5 linked regions of the Zea mays genome follow. The protein of the gene in region 1 binds, or shares a complex with, the protein of each later gene. Links are inferred from orthologs where the notes say so. Each region holds a gene or a part of one and is shown in the gene's direction. Other genes may lie near its edges. The genes, in order: Probable mediator of RNA polymerase II transcription subunit 26b, Mediator of RNA polymerase II transcription subunit 23, mediator of RNA polymerase II transcription subunit 25, uncharacterized protein LOC100276155 and uncharacterized protein LOC100216950.

Region 1 (4,635 bases):
CAATTCCAGTGATTTTCTTTCGAGTGCGTGAGAAGTGAAGTTTTTTTGTTTCCTCTCTCTCTCTCTCTCTATCTATCGATCTATCTTTTTTTTAATATATACTCTTCCATTTCCTTTTTCCTTCCTACTATCTCTGCTGCTACACGAAGCCAGCATATGGTTGCTAGTGAAAAGGACACACGACTGGCCCTTCGGCTACCCCAGCAGCCACTCCAAAATGGAACACCCGCGTAAGTCATACTACTGTAGAAAATTTAAAAAAAATGAAAATAAAAAAAAGAACCTCGAAACAACCCTAGCCAGCCACTGTCCCACACTACTGGTGGGAGACGCTAGATGCGCACGCAGTGCACAGGGGACAAAATACAGAGACGGAATTCCTTCTCAACAAAAAGCATGAAACACATGCCACTTTTGAAATGGGAGTATCTATGCGCGGCGTGGGAATAAGCCAGGATGCTCGGATCAAGATGCTAACACTGCAAAAACAGACGATGCATTTCTTTCGCTGTTTATTATAGTTTCATCAGATTGTTTGGTGTAAGATTTTGATGGCTATAGTATTTTTTTTTCTTTTCCCGAGATTTCCGGAGAGGATTTTTTTCTTCTTTTTCTTTCCATCTCTCTCGCTCTTTTCGTTCAATCTTACTTATTATACCGTCACCCATTCTTATCGTTCTTGTTTTTTTGCGACCATGGGTTATCATCTCATGTATTGCGAAACCTATAGTATAGCATTCGACTCCTCATCTCATGTATTGCAAAGCATCGCGGACCTCTTGTGTCTTACGATTTTGCCACCTTGAGAGCCTGCTCTGTACTAGGTGCAGCGCGTCGCACGACTGTGTTAAAAAACTCGTCTTCCGTCTTTTTTTAAAAAACAAATGCACAACAGTTGCCTACAACGACAAGCATTTTTTTTCAAAAGTTATATTCATGTCTCGTCAGTTGTTTCATATAGAATTACGTCTTTATTGTCTCATTCAACCTATCAACTAGAACAAGTACCACGCACCAAGCTGTATTAAATTCACTACAATAAATTTTTTATTTAACACACATTGTACATGTTCCGACTTTATATGGATTTTTTAAAAAAATTAATGATTAAACATTGAAATACGACATGAAGAAAACAGAATAAAAATATATGATAAAGCTTGTGAGGGCATCCCATCCATTTGACATGACACGCTGTGTGCAGTGCTGAAAATACTTGTGCTCGGTAGTCGGTACGCAAATGACTTTGCAATTATGGCCCGAGAGAGATATGCTTTACCAAATAGTAAATAGTTCAGATTATACGCAACTAAACAATAATCATGATGGAAAACCACCCTGTGACTTTGTGAGTGAGCATCATCAACCTAGCAGCACTGCTCCTCAACACAGAGAGAGAGAGAAGGAAAGAGACCGGAAAGGGCGCCCCCCGACGCCCGAGTCGACCGCAACAAGAATCAGCCACGCCGCGTCTCACCCATCTCCCGTAGCATTTCCGCCATCTCCTGCGGGTTGAGTACGGCCGAGTCCTGCTGCCCTTCGCTCGCTTCTTCTGGTAAATTGCAGTTTGTTACCGCAATTGCAGCTGCTAGTGGTGGCGAGGCATGGGCCATGGGAGAAAGACTAGTTGTTGCTGGTGTTTGGTAGTAGTAGCCGCGTAGGTCTCGTGGGTGTGCGCACCCTGCCTTCCCCGTCCCTATCCGCCCGTCTCATCGTCATCCCCTTCCTGTCTTCAACTTCACCTTCCCTGTGTTTCCTCCCCGCTTCCTTCCGCTCTAGGGGTCAGCCAGGCAGTCCAGATAAGATTTGCTCTGGTTAGGCTACCTCCGCGCCGCGCTGGAACTCCCTCCCGGTGAGGTTGTTGAAACCGACAAGGAACGGGGACGTGGGGCCCGAGGAAGGTCACGCTGCTAGTTTTTTTCCTTCGCGATCGATCCCTTCCGCCTCCGGATTCGCCCTGCTCTTGTTCCTCCGCTGTTTTCTCGATCGGTTGGCTGGTGACTCTGCCCCTGCCCCTGCCCCTGCCCCGGCCCCGATTCGGGGGAATCTGATTCGCCGTTGGGCGGGCGGGAGAGATTGGGTTCTTGGTTCTGGTGCCGGTGCGCGCGGCGTAATTTGGTAGCAGATAGAAGCAGGAAGGGGGAGCATCGGCCCTTGGCTGCGCTGCTGAGAATCGCGGTCGGGGGAGGCTGATCTTGGCGACGGTGGCCCGGCGGGGACCGGTGGCGGCCGCGGCGATGGCCGACGGGCTGGATCGGTGGCGCGGCTTCTTCCGTGGCGCCGGCGCTGGCATCTGCGACGTCATCGAGAACGCCATCCTCGTGGCGGCGGCCGACGCGCCGCGGGACTTCCTGCACCGCCGCGACCGCATCGCTGAGAGGCTCTTCACCGCGCTCCGCCGCGACGCGGCGCCGCCGTCCTTCGGCAGCGCCGCGGCGTCCACCACCCCGGCCACTCCCGTTGAGGAGGACAAGGGCAGCGTGCGCCGCGTCGCCGAGAAGGAGTGCAAGGTCGACAGCAGCAGCAACGGTACCCACGGCGGCGGCGGCCATGGCCATGGCCACGCCGATGAGGACGATGATTCTGACTCTGACGACGAGCGCCTCCGCCGCGCCGCAGCGAGCAACTATGGCCACAACTACGATGATGATGACGAAGATGGCGACCAACAGGAGGAAGATGAGCAGCAGCATGCCGCGGATGATACTGAAGAAGGGGAGGAAGACCACGACGCTGAGGAGCTCGAGGCGCTCACCAATGAGATCGATGAGGAGTCACAGATCGTCGGCGAGGTCCTCCGCATCAAGGAACTCCTCCTGCACAAGGAAGACCATGTACTGGCAGACTGCCTCGTTTCTTCATTTATTTATAAGGTCCTTAAACTTCGAATTCCTCTGAGCTAAATCATGTTGTTCCTGCAGTCGGATGCCACTTTGTTCGATTCACTGAGGAGGCTGCAGTTGATGCAATTGTCCGTCTCTACGCTAAAGGTACAAAATGGATATTGCGTACATATGAGCTATTTGATGTGTTGATCCCTGTTTGCTCTGGCTGTTTGGTTTCTTAATCTTAGGACTGTTCATTGCAGGCTACTGAGATTGGAAGAGCTGTTAATCGGCTGCGGAAACACAACTCACGAGAGATTCGGCACCTCGTGTGCACTCTCATTGAGTAAGTTCCATCTTCATTTCTGTCAATTTTGGTCCCTAGTGCTACTTCTCTGTTGCTTTCAAAGTGCTTAATAGCAGACCAAAATCACTGATCAAATATCAACCAACCAATTGTAGATTAGCTACATAATCATTGGAAGTGCCTTCTTGCTAGCGTTCTTGGAAATGTTGTTGACATATGAGGTTACCTTGTGTGTTTCAGAGGTTGGAAAGTTTTGGTTGATGAATGGGTCAGTACCACAAATGCTGCCCTGACAGGTAACTGAATTGAATTGATCTAACAGTTTCTAAATGAAGACTGGCATCTTAGCTTAATATGGATATTTGTTCTTTGGTGCTGTAGAGAACTCCCCTGGCTCTTCAAATCCTTCTGTTGTGGATGAAGAAGAGGAAGGGCTTCCATCTCCACCTTTGGACGAAGGGGCCTTCTTTGCCACCCAAACCACTTCTATTCAACTCTCTGAGGTACTGATATAGTTAATTCCTGCCATCTGATTGGGATTTGTGTTTAACAACAATCTGACTCTGTGTCTGTTGTTTTTCCTCCCATCTCCCCAACCTAAAGTTCTTTGACGAAATGGATGAAGATGGAAGTGAGTACAGCAATTTAGCAGTTCTTAATTTTCCATGCTTATTGCTTGGTTTTAACATTATGATGATTATTAACGTTGCGCATACGGTGCCAGATTTGAGACATAGTAATGACCCGAGCCTTGGAAACAAGAGGGGTAACAATGGTGGGAGACTTGCAAGCCATTCAACGGTTGCAAGGCAAGATCCACCTCGCTCTTATCCTGGAGTCGTCGAAAGAGTTCAACCCAGGAGGCTAGAACTGGCAAGGCAAGAGCCACCAATGAGGCAAGCGAACCCACAAACCCTCCAAAGTTCAAGTTTGCAAGCCAAACCTCACGGTGCGCTCAACAAGCAGTCTAATAATCCCTCAAGTTATGAATCTGGACCGGGGAGACCAGTAAAGGCAGCTCAACAGAGACCATTTGGTGACATGAAACCTAAACAAACTCGAGAGCATGTTGCTATCGAGAGAAAGCCTATGGCAAGCCAGACAGATGTAAGTACACGCAACTAAGGCACATGTTTTTGACGATGGTTAAGACCTCATGACTCACATTATCTGTTCTCCTTGCTGTAGAAATCAAGGCCCGGCGCTCGACCTTCGGCAGGAGCCAAGCTAGAGTTGGCAAAGCCAAAGGTTTACGATGATGGTCTGGATAACAACAGGAAGCTGGAAGCAGCGAAGCGGAGGCTCCAGGAGCGGTACCAGGAAGCGGAGAATGGTTCGTGGTCTCTATTTTAACACTCACCAGAGTATTATCCTTATCTGTCTGTCACTAGTAGTAGGTCTCTACCGTTTCGGTTCGGTTTTTATTGAACCGTTCCACGCCTCTGTCTGTGCAGCGAAAAGGCAACGCACGATTCAGGTAATGGAGCTGGGTGACATACCGAA
Region 2 (3,546 bases), on another chromosome or scaffold:
CATCCAAAAAGAGCTGAGCTCCAGAAAGCTCTTGGCAGCCATCTTTCATGGAAGGACCGGTAATTGGAACCATTTAGTATATTACTTACTGAAAATTTTATTAAGTCAATGACATTAAGTAATTATACAATTACATATCTCATGTTTGATATTTGTGTTACATGGCACCCATATAATAAACAGTTTCCATTAAAAAAAGCTGTGTTCTTTTGAATAGCAATTTAATCTATTTATGGCATAGTTAGATTAATTTGGTTGTCTGATCAATTTGATATTTTGGATGTTCTGGTCATGTTTTTGGCCAATATGGTTTCATATTAGGATTATTTTATCTGTGGTCAGTGCTTGTTTGTCCATTTATACCCAGCTTTAAACTAATTATTGTAATATATGCTGCACCTATTCCAAAACTATAAAGCTACTATTGGCTGTCAACTTACCAAACAGAAAGTGAGGTTTTCTTCTGAGATACATATTGTTTTGTTTTCAATGGTGGTAATAGAATCTTGATGTCCTCTAGTTTTGTTGATGCAGCTATCCACCCTTCTTCGATGACATTGCTGCACGTCTGCTTCCTGTTATTCCACTGATTATTTATAGGCTTATTGAGAATGATGCAACTGACATTGCAGACAGAGTTCTTGCATTCTATTCTTCCTTGCTTGCCTTCCACCCGCTAAGATTTACATTTGTACGTGATATTCTTGCGTATTTCTATGGTCATCTTCCAATCAAACTAATTGGTAGGATCCTCAACCTGCTGGGTGTTAGCACTAAGGTAAACCTATTTACTTTTTTAGTTGTAACACTTTGTGCCTAACACTTGCTAACTATGAGCTTTTTCCAGACCCCCTTTTCAGAATCTTTTGCTAAATATTTAGTGTCATCAAATTCTTCAATATGTCCACCACCAGAATACTTTGCCAACCTGTTGCTAAACCTCGTTAATAATGTTATACCTCCTTTAAGTAGCAAATCGAAATCAAACCCAGCAGACACAACACGCTCGACTTTCAACAAACATCATGCATCTTCACAACCTGGTGGAGTTGGTAACACCGATGGCCAGAGGGCATTTTATCAGAATCAGGATCCTGGGTCGTATACACAGCTTGTTTTGGAAACAGCAGCTATTGAGATTCTCTCACTTCCTGTGCCTGCTGCTCAAATAGTGTCCTCTTTGGTCCAAATAATAGCACATGTACAAGCAATACTTATACAGTCAAATAGTGGCCAAGGAATGTCAGGTGGTTTGGGGCAAAGTTCTGGGCTGCCAACTTCTCCTTCAGGGGCTGCTGAATCCTCAGGTCCCAACCAAGCGAACAGTGCTGCAACTGGCATCAATGCCACTAACTTTGTTTCTAGGAGTGGTTACTCCTGCCAACAATTGTCTGTTTTGATGATTCAAGCATGTGGTCTTCTGCTGGCACAACTCCCACCAGAATTCCACATGCAACTATACTCAGAAGCAGCTCGAGTCATAAAAGACTGCTGGTGGCTTGCTGATGGTTCCAGGCCTGTTAAAGAGCTTGACTCTGCTGTTGGATATGCACTGTTGGATCCTACATGGGCTTCCCAAGACAATACATCAACAGCCATTGGTAGAACATTTTTCTTTAGTCTTATGAGCTGGATCAGATCAGAGTTAACTTAATGGAAAATTATATTGCGTCCTTGTTAGCTAAAATACCATATTGCAATGTTTCAAAATAATCACAAAAATCATGTATGTAGTAGACCTAAAGTTAAGTGTAGCCGCAATAAATCAGTTTGAAATTCATCTTTGATGTTGAGATTAAAAAAATAGAAGTGTCACTATCAACACATGGTGAACAGTGTCAGGTTGACTGCTTGTCTATTTTATTTCTTGGCATCTAGGATGAATTTCAAACTGAATTGTTGTGGCTATACTTTATGTGTATTACATACATGATTTTTATGTTGACTTTTGGAACATTGCAGTTTGGTGTTTTAGCTATCAATGGCGCAAAATCTGCACTCTAACTTAATATGCTAGTGCCTCAATTATGTCTTATGTCGTTTGTGCTTTGGTTGCAGGTAACATTGTTGCCCTTCTGCATTCCTTTTTTAGCAATCTTCCACAAGAGTGGCTGGAATCTACTCATACTGTCATCAAACACCTTCGGCCAGTCAATTCAGTTGCCATGTTAAGAATCGCCTTCCGCATATTGGGTCCCTTGTTACCTCGTCTAGCCTTTGCTCGACCTTTGTTCATGAAGGTATATACTCGGTTTTCTCTTTGCAGTTACTCCAAAATTAGAAATATGTGGTATATTTTTCCTTTAAATTAAATGCTCAACCAACCTTGAAGGAACAAGGTGTTTTTAATTTAATAATTAAAGAATATGCACCGAAATTTGCCTTGATGAGGACTTGAACTTGTGTGGCCCAGAGCCCCAGAGATACATCCACTGTCCTTGACTATCTGAGCTAGTCTCAGTTTTACTTTAGATTTACGTTATGAGCTTGTAAGTGGTCTAAATTTAAAGTCAACAGCTTTGTATGGCAAGGTGTTAGTCACTTCGAATTGGATCAGCATATGCTGTACCTGCAATGCAACCTCAATAACTGCTGCAAGTTTATGTTCATCATTTAGCATCATTCCAGCATTTTTTGTCAGAATTTACATATATTTTCCAGGGTGTCATTCAAGTCCCAAACTCCGAAAATGCATTTTTAAGTCCTCAAGCCTGTCTTTGTGTGACGTCGAGGTCCCAGTTTTTTAAAATGTTATTTTTAGGTTCAGAGGCTTGTCTCGGCTTGTTATCTTGGTCCCTAAACTTAGTGTGCCACTTAGGTCCAAATAGACCCTATCTACTCCACCTCACAACACCACATGTCACAACAGTTGGATCCATACCTCATTCTTGACCGGCTGCTTATTGGCAAAGCATGCTAGGGATAGACACAGGTTTTGGGACAAGATTTTATATTTCATTTAAGCCATTACGCAAAAACATAGCAGGTTTAGGTATATATAGAAGTAGCGAAGCAAACTTGAAAACTAAGAGATTTCAGCATATGCAGATATATATGCTAAAGTAGATGCTATTATGCTAATGTAGGTGCTAAAGGGAGCTAAGAATGTAAGGTGCTGACATATGCACCTACTCTTAAGATAAATACAAGATTTAGTCTATCAAAGCAATCGTTTGCCTACCTCTTCTGCTTAAGGAGCACTAACTCTGCCACTACTACTGATGATGTCATGGCCTTTGATATGGAGAATGATTTTTTTTTCGGACTACGCAGGAGAACCACATGTCATTTGATTAAGAAAGAAAGAATTACAAGAGGCTAAAGCCTCCTAGGCGAACTCCACCTGGCCAAAAACTATGGTGCCAAGCGAAAGGATCTTTGGAGGGTTTCCTGGAGATCATTAGCCCCAGCTAAACACCACAAGTGACCCTCCTCAGCTACCAACCGAAGGACAGCCTGAACACCAGCCCGTACTCCTTCAAAAACAACAACATTTCTGTGTTTCCATAACTCCCAGGAGACTAGGATGAGTAAGGAAAGCCTTTA
Region 3 (2,783 bases), on another chromosome or scaffold:
TGATGCCGACACCTGGGATGGTCCCACAGACAGGAGTCAATTCCTTAGGTGTGAATAACAATTCTGCTATGAATATGCCTATTACGCAGCAGCATGCCAATGCCCAACAGCCGCCACCAAAGTACGTCAAAATTTGGGAGGTAAAGGTTTCCTTGTCTTTTAGCATTTACATATACATAGACAGCATCCCACCTCTCCAGTATAACATAGAAATGAGTTGCTTGAAATAAATGGTAAGCACGGTGCAGAGAAGATGACTAATAGGCAATGTTAGCAAGTCGTCTAGCCGATCCTAGCCGCCATGGGGCTGACTAGGTGAGTTGTCGCGATTAGTCGTCGACCAGGGCGAGTAGTCGCAATTAGTTGTCGATCAAGGCGACTAGTTGGCCATAGTTGTCCCCTATTCATCCTATCCTATATATATATCAGGATTAATATACCAAATATATACTTATATACTATATGTTCGAGAGTACAAATCAAGCATGAAGATAACTCTAGGGTGATAGCTGCACGCAGGGTTTCAAATTGGACAGGAAAACACGAGCAAGCCATCCTAGATGCAACCCATGTCCTAAGTTGCTCATCAATTCCAGTTATCCACCTCCTAGTTGTCTAACTAATCAGACGACCAGAAAACTAATCAGCCTAATCGAGTTGTAGCCCCTAGTCGAGTCCAGGATACCAACTAGGACGACTAATCACGATTAACTGGATGACTTGATAACACTGCTAATTGGAGCCTTAGGCCCTGCTGTGGCTATGATACTGTAGTGCAAAAATTGGGAGTTATGTTGCATACAATCTTGTTTGTTGGCCAGAGATTTTCAACAACTGATGTGTCAGGGTCTAAGGAGGCCCACGGAGGGGCTGCGACAGCAGCAACCATGGGCCCTCCAAGGGGATTATATAAGGATAGTTAGAGATAATATTAGAAGATTAGTTGAGATTATTTAGGAGATTAGTTGAGATTATCTAGGAAGGTTATTAGTTAGTAGTTTGTTGAGAGTTTTTAGGAGAGTTTTAAGGAGATAAGGATCTCTAGCTAGATAGGGGCGGCCAGCCGGTCTATTTATGTAATCAATGGATGAGAAATAAAGCAGACAAGAATTAGAAGGGAGAAACCCTCTTCTTGCTCGGCCGTGGGTAGACGCCCCCGGCCGACGTTCCTGCCCATCGACACCCCTCCTGCTTTTCAACTAATCTCCTAAATAATCTCAACTAATCTTCTAATATTATCTCTAACTATTCTTATCTAATCCCCTTGGAGGGCCCATGGTTGCTGCTGCCGCAGCTCCTCCGTGGGCCTCCTTAGACCCTGACATGATGTTTGCCATTTATCTGTATTTCAGGGAACTTTATCTGGCCAAAGGCAAGGACAGCCTGTAATAATTTGTAAACTCGAAGTAAGTCTTTGTTTTGCATTATTGGTCTCCAAAAAAATATAGTATATTGTAAGAAATTATAAAAGTTTCTAGTAGTTTTTTGTTCTGCAGCATTACTTAGCAGAAATAATGGTTCCTGAGTTCCTGAGATATGATGACACTTCTATGCTCTTTGTAGATCTGTATGAACAACACTTCTATGCTCGTTCAACTAAGTTTTGTGATATCTTTGACCCATCTTTTTGCTAAGACTGGAAATAAACTAGTTTTGAATAAACTTCTGAAGTTGTAATCGTGTTTTTTTAAACTTCAGGTAGAGAGAATTTAACCCCTTTAGAAATGGACTGTATCAATTGCTGCGGATGCCCATTTTGAGCCATAGTTTGTTATCACCTTCAAAGCTGGAGTCTTACTTGTGCAGCTCTTTCGCTTTTTTGTTTTGACATTTCTCACTTTAACAATGTCTGACAGGGTTATAGGAGTGGAACAGCGTCTGAAACGTAAGTGTCTGATTTTTTGCAATAAACCTTACATTTTCTTGAATCTCTGTTATACAGTGTTTTCTGTTGATTACTATGATTGAGGTAAGTATTTCTTGTTAGTTGATGTTATGTTGTCGTTGTCCTTGTCTTGAAAGAAATGATACTAGAAATTTTCATTGGGTATGTTTAACAATGGAACCTTTTTGTGGTACTTTCGAATTATGCATCTAGACTTAGTAGGAAACTGAAAGCCGTACTTTCTGCATGCAGACTTGCAGCGGACTGGCCAGAAACAATGCAGATTGTTCGCCTCATAGCCCAGGAGCATATGAACAACAAGTTTGTTACTCATTCTTTTCAATGCCAACTTGTTGCATCATTTTCTTGTAAATGTGCTGTGAATGACATATTTACTTGGTTATTCTGCAGACAATATGTTGGCAAGGCAGACTTTCTAGTTTTTCGGACTTTAAATCACCATGGGTTTCTTGTACAACTACAAGAGAAGAAGCTGGTCAGTGCCTGAGTCTATTTCTTTTTAGTCTCTACTGTATTTAAGTGGGAAAATCGTTGTGCATTGGGTCTCCCTCAGCGCGGCGCAGCGCTCTCCCACGGGAAAAAAAATAAGAAAAAAGAGAGCATACTAGCGCTCGAACCGTGGCCCTCTTCTATAGATATTCTAAATATTGTGTTACACAGAGGATAAATATTGTAAATATATATACATACTAATACATTTAAATTTAAAAAAATATAATCATGCCACGTCGGACCGGGCCGGCACTATAGACTGAGACGGTGGCTCAGGCACGACATGGTTCTCAGGTCGGGCCGCGGTACTGTTAAATGGGCCGTGCCTTGGGTCAGTCTGCTAGACACGACCTATTTGGCTATCTATAGTACAATACCTTCTTTC
Region 4 (4,752 bases), on another chromosome or scaffold:
TGTTTGTCCCCTCAATGTGAGATTATGGACTTAAGCCTCCCCTAACTCCATAATTCACTTACTTCCTATTTTTGGACCAAATAACCAAAACCACTTGAAAAGCCACTTGTAGATTTTAAAATTTTAAATTGGTGGTGTTTGATGTTTGATACATTGTTCATTGCTTTGGTCCCTAAACTTCTCCCCCTTTGGTATCAACCACCGAAAAAAGAAGATATTAAAAGCATGTAGGAAGTAAATAATACTTGCCCTCATAAAGAATTTTGTCAATTGATACCAATTGCAGAATTTTGCCCTCATGTAAACTTGCCCTCATGTAAGAATTTTGCCCTCATAACGATCACGCGTCACCTAGTGTGTGTAGGCATATACTTTGTATGGCGCATTGTGCTGCCTTCCCCGGTATACGGGTCACTGTAGAGGCTCCAGTGCTGAGGTTTTTTCTATGACTGGGTTGACTGACCCCACATGGCAGTGGGGATACGCCTTAGAGCGTACGTGGTGGCGTTCAGTCGTGTCGATAGTGACCTCCTGGCGCCCCTTCGGTACGTTGCACATATGTCCGGACGTGGGTTGATGATGACGCGTCTTGTCGTAGCCATCACGGGTTAATAGCGTTAGGTTGGGACCTCCGCCTCGTATGGTTGCCCAATTTGGAGTTGGTCGACCGCTCCTCCTCAAAGGGTTGCTCAGTGGGGAGTTGGTCGGCTGCTCTGCTTTGCGAGGTTGCTCGTCGATGAGTTGGTCAGCCGCTCTGCCTCTCGACGAGGAATTGGTCGTTCGCTCCATCTTGCAAACTTGCTCGACGGAGGACTTGGTCGTCCGCTCCGCCTCGTAGGCTTGCTTGGCAGAGGGTTGGTCGGCTAATGGGCCGGAAGGAGGTTGTGGGCTTACTTTTGGTTACCCTGTTCCTAGGTACATGACAATTTACATAGTAGAGTTCTATTTGGTAGAGCTCTTTTAATGGCCCCTCAACAGCTTCTTCAAAAAGGCTACCAAATGGTGGGCTCCTCTCGTGGCTTCTCCATAAAAATAGGAAGGAGATGTCCCTAAAAACCGAGGAAAGCCCAGAGCCTAAAAAGGAGGCTTCTCTGACTCGACTCTCTCTTGTCACTCACCCTCCCATGAAAATAGGAGTAGTTGTGTTTTAACTAAATAGAGTGTTCTCCAAGGGTTACTAAAAATAAGGATCAAACTATTTTTTTCAGATGAGCCAGAAGGAAAGCCGGTGATGCAAAAATCCTACCAAAAGGGAGCCTCAGAAGAGTCAACCCACTTTATAATAGTACACATATTCAAGTTTTAAAATTATATATAACCTTAAAAATCATCTATATATTTTGAGCTTTTAAAGTGGGCTAACACGAACCCTACTAGATGTTAGTGTCGGCATGACATGATTAGACACTATAGTGCCGTGTCTAGACAATAGTACTAACACATCACGACACATTTACTAATAGTGTCTAATAACACCATTAATGCTGGACAGACAATCTATTTAGCCATCTATAGATGAATAAGGTTAAAAAACACTATCTATCTCCTCTCGTATCTAATATCTATCCACTATTTCAACTCCAACGCTACAAACAAAGGTATGACTATCGTACAACAACAGTTCTTTAGACGGCCATATCAGCTGGACACAGCCACCGTACTCCGAGATTAGCGCCCCCGTCGGCCAAACAGTACCGGACTGGCCGCCGTTCACAGTTCACGCCCCGCGTGGTCCCTATTTCCCGGCGAGCACTAGGCTACCGCCGCCGCCGTCAGGTGCCGGTGCCCAGACCTTCGTCGTGCCCATTTCACCGGCGACGAGCACCCACTAGGTATGCCCGTCCCTCCTCTCCCCTATCTGCTTTGCGAAACCGAGCACTCAAAACCTAGCTTAAGAATCGGATCTGATTCAGGAGTAATTGCAAGTATATGCATGTATTATTATGCCTACTAAATTACTAATAACTTCGATTTTTCCAATAGCCCCTGCCCGCAGGTGTTGGGAACTGGGGATAGAGATGGATCACCACCACCCGCAGCAGCAGCAGCAGCAGTACGGCGATCCTTACCGTGGGCTCATGACGTCCCCGCAGCCCGACCACCACCTCCACGCTCTTCAGTACCATCAGCCGCAGCCGCAGCAACAGCCGGCGCTTATGTCTCCACCGCAGCCACAGCCAGCACTGATGTCTCCACAGCCGCAGCAGACACTGATGTCTCCACCGCAGCCGCAGCAGCATCACCACGCCTCTCTTGCCTCCCACTTCCACCTCCTACATGTAAGTAACGGAGTGTTTGGAGTTGTGTGGAGTTTTGTGTTTTGGGGGCCTTTGCTCTTAGTTTAAGATAGCATAGATGATACATACCCTCAAATGAACCCTTCTTTTTGTAGTGATGTCATTGATGTTGTTGGAGTGTGCCCTTTGTGCACCGGAATTTCAAAATTCTGAACTTGGGATTTTGCTAGTCATTAAAGATTGTCATTAATTTGTCCTGTATTTGTTGCTCAGCGATTGCAATTTCTTCACACCATGATTTGTCACTTTGGCCGGTAGTGAAGATTGCCATATTATAGGTGTACATGAACGATATACAAGCGTCAGAGCGTGCAACATTGGTAATGGCCAGAGAAAATGTTGATTCTAATCACTCGAGTTGGTTTGACAAGAAATACATAAATTAAAAATATATATGAGGGCACTTTAGGTATTGTAGGTTTTCTTAAGCTGGCAATCACATGTCTGTATTGGCATCTAACATTTAGGCTTATTTCCAATGGCTTTTTTGCAAGTAGCAAATCTTTGTTTCCACTTTTATGATGGCTCTTCTTCCTTTTACTCTTTGAGAAAGTACTAGAATGTATTGTGAAATACTGATAGTTTTCTTCTTTGCATAATTTTGTTCTCTGTTAGTTGGTTACAAGATTAGCCGATGCTATTGGTACAGGAACAAGGGACCAAAATTTCGATGCACTGGTAAGAATCACCATTTACTAATTTTCATTTGTTTTATGGATCAATGTTCTTGTACTCATAGTGCATGATCTTGTCAGAAACAATAGTTGTAGCTTCTTCTAGGCGTGGAGCCTGAATATTCTTATACAGAGTTTGAATTGACATGTGATGTAATTCTTAAATCACTTCCCAGAGAAGAGACAGGTCACAAACAATGCTCTAGTGTTGGTGGTGCACAGGAAGCTTGGGACCAGCCCAGGGTGACAGGGTCTGCACGGTTCAGTTTTCCATAGCCAAAACCAAGCCAGTGGAAGACATACCCTTAGTTATGCAATTATGCAATTGCAGAAGCATGTTAAAATTACTACTATGTATTGTGTACTTCCATGCTGATTTCTTATAGAATACCAGCTAAACACCATATTTTTCCCAGCGTTTTGCTAAATCCTAATTCCAATAGCTACTGTATTAAGAGAAGCTTTTTATATATATCTAGGTTGAAGAATTGACCAGCCAGTTTGCTAGGTGCCAACAATTGTTGAACTCCATATCGGGAACAATAAGCTCAAAGTCTACTGTAAGTTCTGTTACTTCTCTTTCCTGACTCATATGCTTTATTCTTAGTGGTCTTCTGAATTTGATAATAATTACTAAGTTAAATTGAACTATTCTGGCTAATGAATCTCAATTACTTTGTTTTGGTATCCAATAAAATTTTCAATTGCACAAGAATTAAGAATTTTTTCCAGAAATGGATAATAAGACGGGGTATAGTAGATCTGTTGCAGGTTTTTGTGTTGTCTCATAAAATGTCTATAAATATTCATGTCTCTAGGCAAATCCTTTTAAAAAGTTAATTCACATTTATTTAAACATCAACAGGAGCATTGCCATATTATATAGAAGGCATGGGACTAAAAGGCTTTCTTTGGGACTGCCCCAACTTGATTGGAGCTAAAAGGCTTTGTTGTTGCCAGAAGCACTAGCATATCATATAAGAACTCAAATGTGCACGGTGCACACATGTTGTCCTCATGCTCAAACACGGATGAGGCTGCCCAAGCAGTCTTGGAACGTGCCTACTGAGCAACTCACACACATAGAGGCTTAGTCCCCTCTGATGAAAATCCCGTGTGACACCTGAGTCGCCCCAGTCAGGGATCAAACTCGGGTAGTAGCGCTCGCACGGTCGCACCGAGCGGCCTTAGTGCCTTACCACTGACTTACTGAGCCATTGTTTTGTTTTCTAATTCACAATTATTAGTTGTTAAGAGTGTCTAAAGTTTGGCTAGTTTTGGCAGTTTTTACTGCTGGGTTACTAGTACGTAATAACTGATGTTACTAGCCAGTAGGGACTGTCGGTTTAGTGGAGACCGGCATGAGCTGCCTTCCTTAAAAAGCCCTAGTTTTCCAGTTGATACCGGTGTCAGTGCTGTCATTACGATCTACAATATTTAGAACCATTTTAATAGACCTAATATTGCTAATTTTATATGTTGTATGGTGCTGGTTATTTTGTGAATTTCAAAGAAATTGGTGGAATATTGCTCGATCAGCACCATTGGTGATTGCCTGGTTTACCCAGTACCAGCTGCAATACATTAAATATTGGAAACATGTTTTTATAGCATGATTGCTGTTGATGACCATTTTAAATAAGTTAGTCAACAATGTGTATTAATGTGTTGACCTTTTCTTTTGTAATTTGTTTTGGATTAATGCATTATATGTAACAAATGTGCATATGCATTATGAATCTCACCCAAAAACTAGATGTATGTTGAGTTGCAACGTAATT
Region 5 (4,649 bases), on another chromosome or scaffold:
ACCCACTGTATGAGTCTTTTTATAGCAAAAAAATATTATTATATTTGTATGCATCACTATTATCTGTAACTAATAAGCTTGCAAAACCATATTTTTGTCCCACTGGTATTAGACTACAGTGTGGATGGTGTTCATACGCTTTCAGTGAATATGGTTCATTTTGATATTGCTATAACCAAATATACATTCATGTCTATCTACTGGCATAGCTTTGGATTTTAAAGTGAATTATAGCATAACACAGATCAATATACTGTTTTCTTCAAATATAGAACTGTTAATGTTCTGCTGCCACAGGCAGTGGTGGATCCAGGAATGGATCAAAGGAGGGGCTGCTAAAAGAAGGTTAGTTTTTTTAGGCTGAACTAAATGATATATCAATGTTTAATATAACAAAGTAACAAGTATAATTCAAATCTTCAAGACACATGTAGACAAAATAAGTAGGTACGAAATCTATAAATACAATACTCAATATATACCGCTCAAGATATCTCCATCAGCTTACTCATCCTCATCTCATATTTCAAACCCCACTCTATAAATAGTGCATTCTACAGTGTAAAACAATGTTTTACACGGTCATATGCACGATCTGCTGGCCATAGCCTCATGAATTACGGTTGCAACGTAAATTTATCTTTCGAGTTCTTATGCCTTAAAAACGTTTCAAAATCTTGTGCTGGCTGCAGCGTGCGCCTTGCGCTGGCCTGCACCTTGTGCTGGCTGCTGGGCGCCTACACGCTGCTAGCTGCTGCAGGTGTGTCGGCCATGCACGCTGGTCCGTGGCCGTGTCCTGCGTGGCGGCGTGGGTGCACAGTGCGCTGCCCGTCAGGCTTTGTGATGCGGCACTGGCACTACTGCAGTGTTATGGCACGGATGGGGGCCAGGCGCGCGTGTGTGCGGCACTACTGTTTGGTGCTGGTGTGCTGTGGCGACATGGCTGCGTGGACGAGATCGGGTGCGGGTGCTAGATGCCACGGTTAGATGGAAGGCTGTTACCTATTTTTGTTGGATTTTATGGACTAAAATTATGATATGATATAAGTATTATTGGACCGGGGCCGCCCCTGGCCACAAGTATGTGTAAATTGTACATTTTAATGGGCATTTACAACAGTGGCATTTTTTTATTTTAACCGCAAAATGATGCTAGAAACTTTTCCAGTGGCTGTTTGCCTTTGGGTTGAAAATCATTGGCATCTCAGCAGGTGTCTCTAAATTAATTGACTGGCTGGACAGCTGATTCATATGATATTTTGGGTTGTGATGAGTTAATATGACAGTTGGAATTTTGGGTGATATTTCATATTTTATACCTTTTTGGCTTCAATGTTTGATTTACTACCTTTCTTCCTTTTATGATTAATGAATGTACAATTGTACATGCAGAACCTTGATAGGATTAAGTGTAGGTTGTTGGAAGGAACAAATGCCCAAGATGTACGGGCACTTGTGTTGGACATGCAAGCAAGATTACTTCTGGATATGCTAGGCAAAGGAATCGAGTCTGCCCTTACAAATCCATCAACTCTGCTACCTGAGCCCTGGCAAGCTTCCAGTGATATGTTATCCAGCATCGATGCTGACAAAATGACTGTTGAGCCAGCTCTGCTTCCAAACATCCAGGTCAAGCTGTCTCCTTTATGCAAGTTGTTTCTATTTCATAGCCATGGAACTTAAATTCAGCTATCTAACATTCTTTCTTTCTTTTTACTGACTTTATTCTTTTAAGACTTGCTACTGAGCCGTTTTTTTTCATTTTATAAAGTAGTGAGCAGTATATTGGTATGCTAGATCACTTCCATGTAAACGGTACTTTAGTTATGTTGGTGAACTCATGTGCAATGTCTGTTATCCTTTGCCAAAACTGGTGTATTACAGCCTTTTAATGTTGAGTATTGTATAAATTTCAGCACAGGTTATCTGCATAGGGATTCTTTATGTTACTAGGAAATAGCTTATTTTATTTGCATTCAAATGCAGGGTTACGTTGATGCTGTTCTTGATTTAGCATCACATTTCATAACTCGCTTGCGGCGTTATGCGAGTTTCTGTCGAACTCTGGCGAGCCATGTGGGGCCATCTTCTACCACAGGCACTTCTAGAAATATGGTTACAAGTCCAACAAACAGTTCTCCTTCGCCATCAAATAATCAAGGTTAGCTATGCCTGCTAGCTTGCTAAATCTTGTGTTTTTCTCTTGTTTGTGCGCAAAAAAGTACATCCAAACCTTATGTTTTCTTCATTGCAAATTTGAGGCTTAAAGTGTTGTTTATTTAGTGCTGCTAGCATCTTGATGCTCCTTCAAATTTCAGGTAATCAAGGGGGATCAACATCTGCAACAGGGAACTCACAAATGCAGGAGTGGGTCCAAGGTGCAATTGCTAAGATTAGTAACAATTCTGATGGTGCTGCCACTGCAACACAGAATCCAATGAGCACGAGGACATCATTTATGCCCATCAGCATTAATACGGGCACTTTCCCTGGCACACCTGCTGTGAGACTTATTGGGGATTGCCATTTTCTTCATAGATTATGTCAATTACTGCTATTTTGTCTGCTTTTCCGAAGAAGGCAATCACCAAGGTTACTTGCCAGTTCGCAAAAAAATCAAGATTCTGCCATGCAGAAAATACAACACATGATGAATGCTAAGACAGAAGATAACAGTTCGACAGTAAGATCTGGTCTAGGGGCTGCCAAAGTAGAAGAAGGTCACTCTGCGCGTGGTGGACAATTTGTTCTTGGTGGTGCAAAGGGTCCTGAAGAAAATCCAATTGGCAAATCTGTTAGAATAGGTTCTGGCAACGCTGGGCAAGGTTATACTTCAGATGAGGTGATTATCAAATTCTTGACAAGATATAGTATTTTTTACAGAGTTTAATATTGAGTTATACTAAGGAAACTTTGGGAGTTAGTGCTACCAAACTGGGACTGATCGTTGGCATTTGAACTTTGGGAGTTAGTGTGAAGAAGCTGACGATGTGCCAAATGCGCTGGAAAACTGGTGACCTGAAGTCCTGAACATAGTGATTAGTTTGGAAACAACTATGTTTTGGCTCCTGCATTTCTTTGGAAATGTCTAGCTTTGGTTGCTATGGGAGAACACATGTCGATATAGCCATCATAGAGTGCAATTGCGTATGTAGGTTATTTTGGACCCTTGATTTAAGCAGTTTAAAATTTTGTCCAGCCTAGCATGAACAACAGTTTGATTGCATATGTCGTTCATGATCTCTATTGAGTGATTTATCAGATGCTTTACAGATCTGTCTTTCTATTCTTTGGAAGATTTCTTTTTGTCTAGTTTATCTAATTATCTCTGTAATTTTATTTCATTGTTGGTAGGTCAAGGTCCTTTTTCTTATACTGGTTGACCTATGTCGAAGGACATCTACCTTGCCGCATCCATTGCCTGCCTCTCAGGTTGGTTCCAGTAGCATTATCATAAGGCTGCACTACATTGACGGCAACTACACAGTGCTCCCTGAGGTAGTGGAAGCGTCTCTTGGTCCCCATATGCAGGTACTAGTCAAATTCTCATGGAAGTTTCTAATGGTCGCTTTCGTACTATTTGTGGCCATTTTGAGCTACCAACATCTATCAATTATAGGAGTAGAAGTTGATTTTCAAGTGCACGACTCAGAGATATTGCAAGTCTTCCTGTTTCGAACTGAATTCAGGACGACCACCTTTAAATGTTGATTAGGATTCTCTTAGCAGAAGTTATCTTTTTTGTATTAGCCATTTTTTATAGAAACATGCACTATTACTGCCAGGGCCTTAGACATGGCATTTTGAGTGATCCCTCGATGCCTACTTCCCCATCTATTTTCAATATTTCATTGTTTCCTATGTCTGTAACTCTGTAGAATATGCCTCGTCCACGAGGAGCTGATGCTGCTGGACTTCTACTTCGAGAATTAGAACTGCAACCTCCTGCGGAAGAATGGCATAGACGCAACATGTTTGGTGGACCCTGGTCAGAACCAGATGATTTTGGTCCATTGGACAATATGCCTCGTCTAAAAATTAGTGGTTCCATCAACTCTCATTTGTCTGACATGGAAGTGGATGCTGTCAGTTCCATTGGGATTGATCTTTGGCCAAGAAAGCGTAGGTTATCTGAAAGAGATGCTGCATTTGGTCTGAAAACATCTGTAGGTCTTGGAGGTTATCTAGGTGTCATGGGATCTCGAAGAGATGTTGTCACGGCTGTGTGGAGAACAGGTCTCGATGGTGATTGGTACAAGGTGAGTATGGTTATGGTCGCTTTACCTTTTGCTGTCAAGTCTGGGTTCATAGTTCCTTGACGAGTTCTTTATTAGAGAATCCTGGTTACTCCCCTAATATACTTCGATGCCTAAATTTGTTGTTTCTTCTTTCTAGTGCATACGTTGTTTGCGGCAAACTTGTGCATTTGCGCATCCTGGTGCCCCAAATCAGACAAATGAACGTGAGGCTTGGTGGATCAGTCGGTGGAGCCATGCTTGCCCAATGTGTGGGGGTTCATGGGTGAAAGTTGTTTGAGCGCTGTATTTGGCAACAACTTCGCTGCTAATTGCTTTCCTGACAAACATGTATGGAGTTCCATAGTTATGCATCTAACGCTAGGCTACTAGGATCAGGTTCAGCCGTTCATG

Evidence for each region.
Region 2: Probable mediator of RNA polymerase II transcription subunit 26b (region 1) and Mediator of RNA polymerase II transcription subunit 23 share a complex: the UniProt entries of both Arabidopsis thaliana proteins name them as parts of the mediator complex. The link is inferred for Zea mays from reciprocal best matches to the Arabidopsis thaliana genes AT5G05140 and AT1G23230.
Region 3: Probable mediator of RNA polymerase II transcription subunit 26b (region 1) and mediator of RNA polymerase II transcription subunit 25 share a complex: the UniProt entries of both Arabidopsis thaliana proteins name them as parts of the mediator complex. The link is inferred for Zea mays from reciprocal best matches to the Arabidopsis thaliana genes AT5G05140 and PFT1.
Region 4: Probable mediator of RNA polymerase II transcription subunit 26b (region 1) and uncharacterized protein LOC100276155 share a complex: the UniProt entries of both Arabidopsis thaliana proteins name them as parts of the mediator complex. The link is inferred for Zea mays from reciprocal best matches to the Arabidopsis thaliana genes AT5G05140 and MED9.
Region 5: Probable mediator of RNA polymerase II transcription subunit 26b (region 1) and uncharacterized protein LOC100216950 share a complex: the UniProt entries of both Arabidopsis thaliana proteins name them as parts of the mediator complex. The link is inferred for Zea mays from reciprocal best matches to the Arabidopsis thaliana genes AT5G05140 and SFR6.

The regions. Positions count from the first base shown.
Region 1 is NC_050103.1:106,778,656-106,783,290, forward strand, and holds the start of Probable mediator of RNA polymerase II transcription subunit 26b, read left to right. Parts: upstream 1-1,479; 5' UTR 1,480-2,237; coding exon 2,238-2,834; intron 2,835-2,921; coding exon 2,922-2,990; intron 2,991-3,088; coding exon 3,089-3,171; intron 3,172-3,372; coding exon 3,373-3,428; intron 3,429-3,513; coding exon 3,514-3,635; intron 3,636-3,735; coding exon 3,736-3,763; intron 3,764-3,856; coding exon 3,857-4,239; intron 4,240-4,320; coding exon 4,321-4,465; intron 4,466-4,586; coding exon 4,587-4,635. UniProt on the Arabidopsis thaliana protein: Component of the Mediator complex, a coactivator involved in the regulated transcription of nearly all RNA polymerase II-dependent genes.
Region 2 is NC_050100.1:213,162,925-213,166,470, reverse strand, and holds part of Mediator of RNA polymerase II transcription subunit 23, read left to right. Parts: coding exon 1-59; intron 60-534; coding exon 535-778; intron 779-847; coding exon 848-1,601; intron 1,602-2,058; coding exon 2,059-2,240; intron 2,241-3,546. UniProt on the Arabidopsis thaliana protein: Component of the Mediator complex, a coactivator involved in the regulated transcription of nearly all RNA polymerase II-dependent genes.
Region 3 is NC_050097.1:178,591,804-178,594,586, reverse strand, and holds part of mediator of RNA polymerase II transcription subunit 25, read left to right. Parts: coding exon 1-140; intron 141-1,352; coding exon 1,353-1,406; intron 1,407-1,856; coding exon 1,857-1,885; intron 1,886-2,137; coding exon 2,138-2,206; intron 2,207-2,296; coding exon 2,297-2,381; intron 2,382-2,783. UniProt on the Arabidopsis thaliana protein: Component of the Mediator complex, a coactivator involved in the regulated transcription of nearly all RNA polymerase II-dependent genes.
Region 4 is NC_050097.1:1,837,244-1,841,995, reverse strand, and holds the start of uncharacterized protein LOC100276155, read left to right. Parts: upstream 1-1,667; 5' UTR 1,668-1,832; intron 1,833-1,983; 5' UTR 1,984-2,018; coding exon 2,019-2,279; intron 2,280-2,912; coding exon 2,913-2,975; intron 2,976-3,450; coding exon 3,451-3,531; intron 3,532-4,752. UniProt on the Arabidopsis thaliana protein: Component of the Mediator complex, a coactivator involved in the regulated transcription of nearly all RNA polymerase II-dependent genes.
Region 5 is NC_050096.1:232,623,510-232,628,158, reverse strand, and holds the start of uncharacterized protein LOC100216950, read left to right. Parts: upstream 1-1,593; coding exon 1,594-1,629; intron 1,630-1,986; coding exon 1,987-2,161; intron 2,162-2,318; coding exon 2,319-2,842; intron 2,843-3,354; coding exon 3,355-3,531; intron 3,532-3,878; coding exon 3,879-4,259; intron 4,260-4,395; coding exon 4,396-4,536; 3' UTR 4,537-4,649. UniProt on the Arabidopsis thaliana protein: Component of the Mediator complex, a coactivator involved in the regulated transcription of nearly all RNA polymerase II-dependent genes.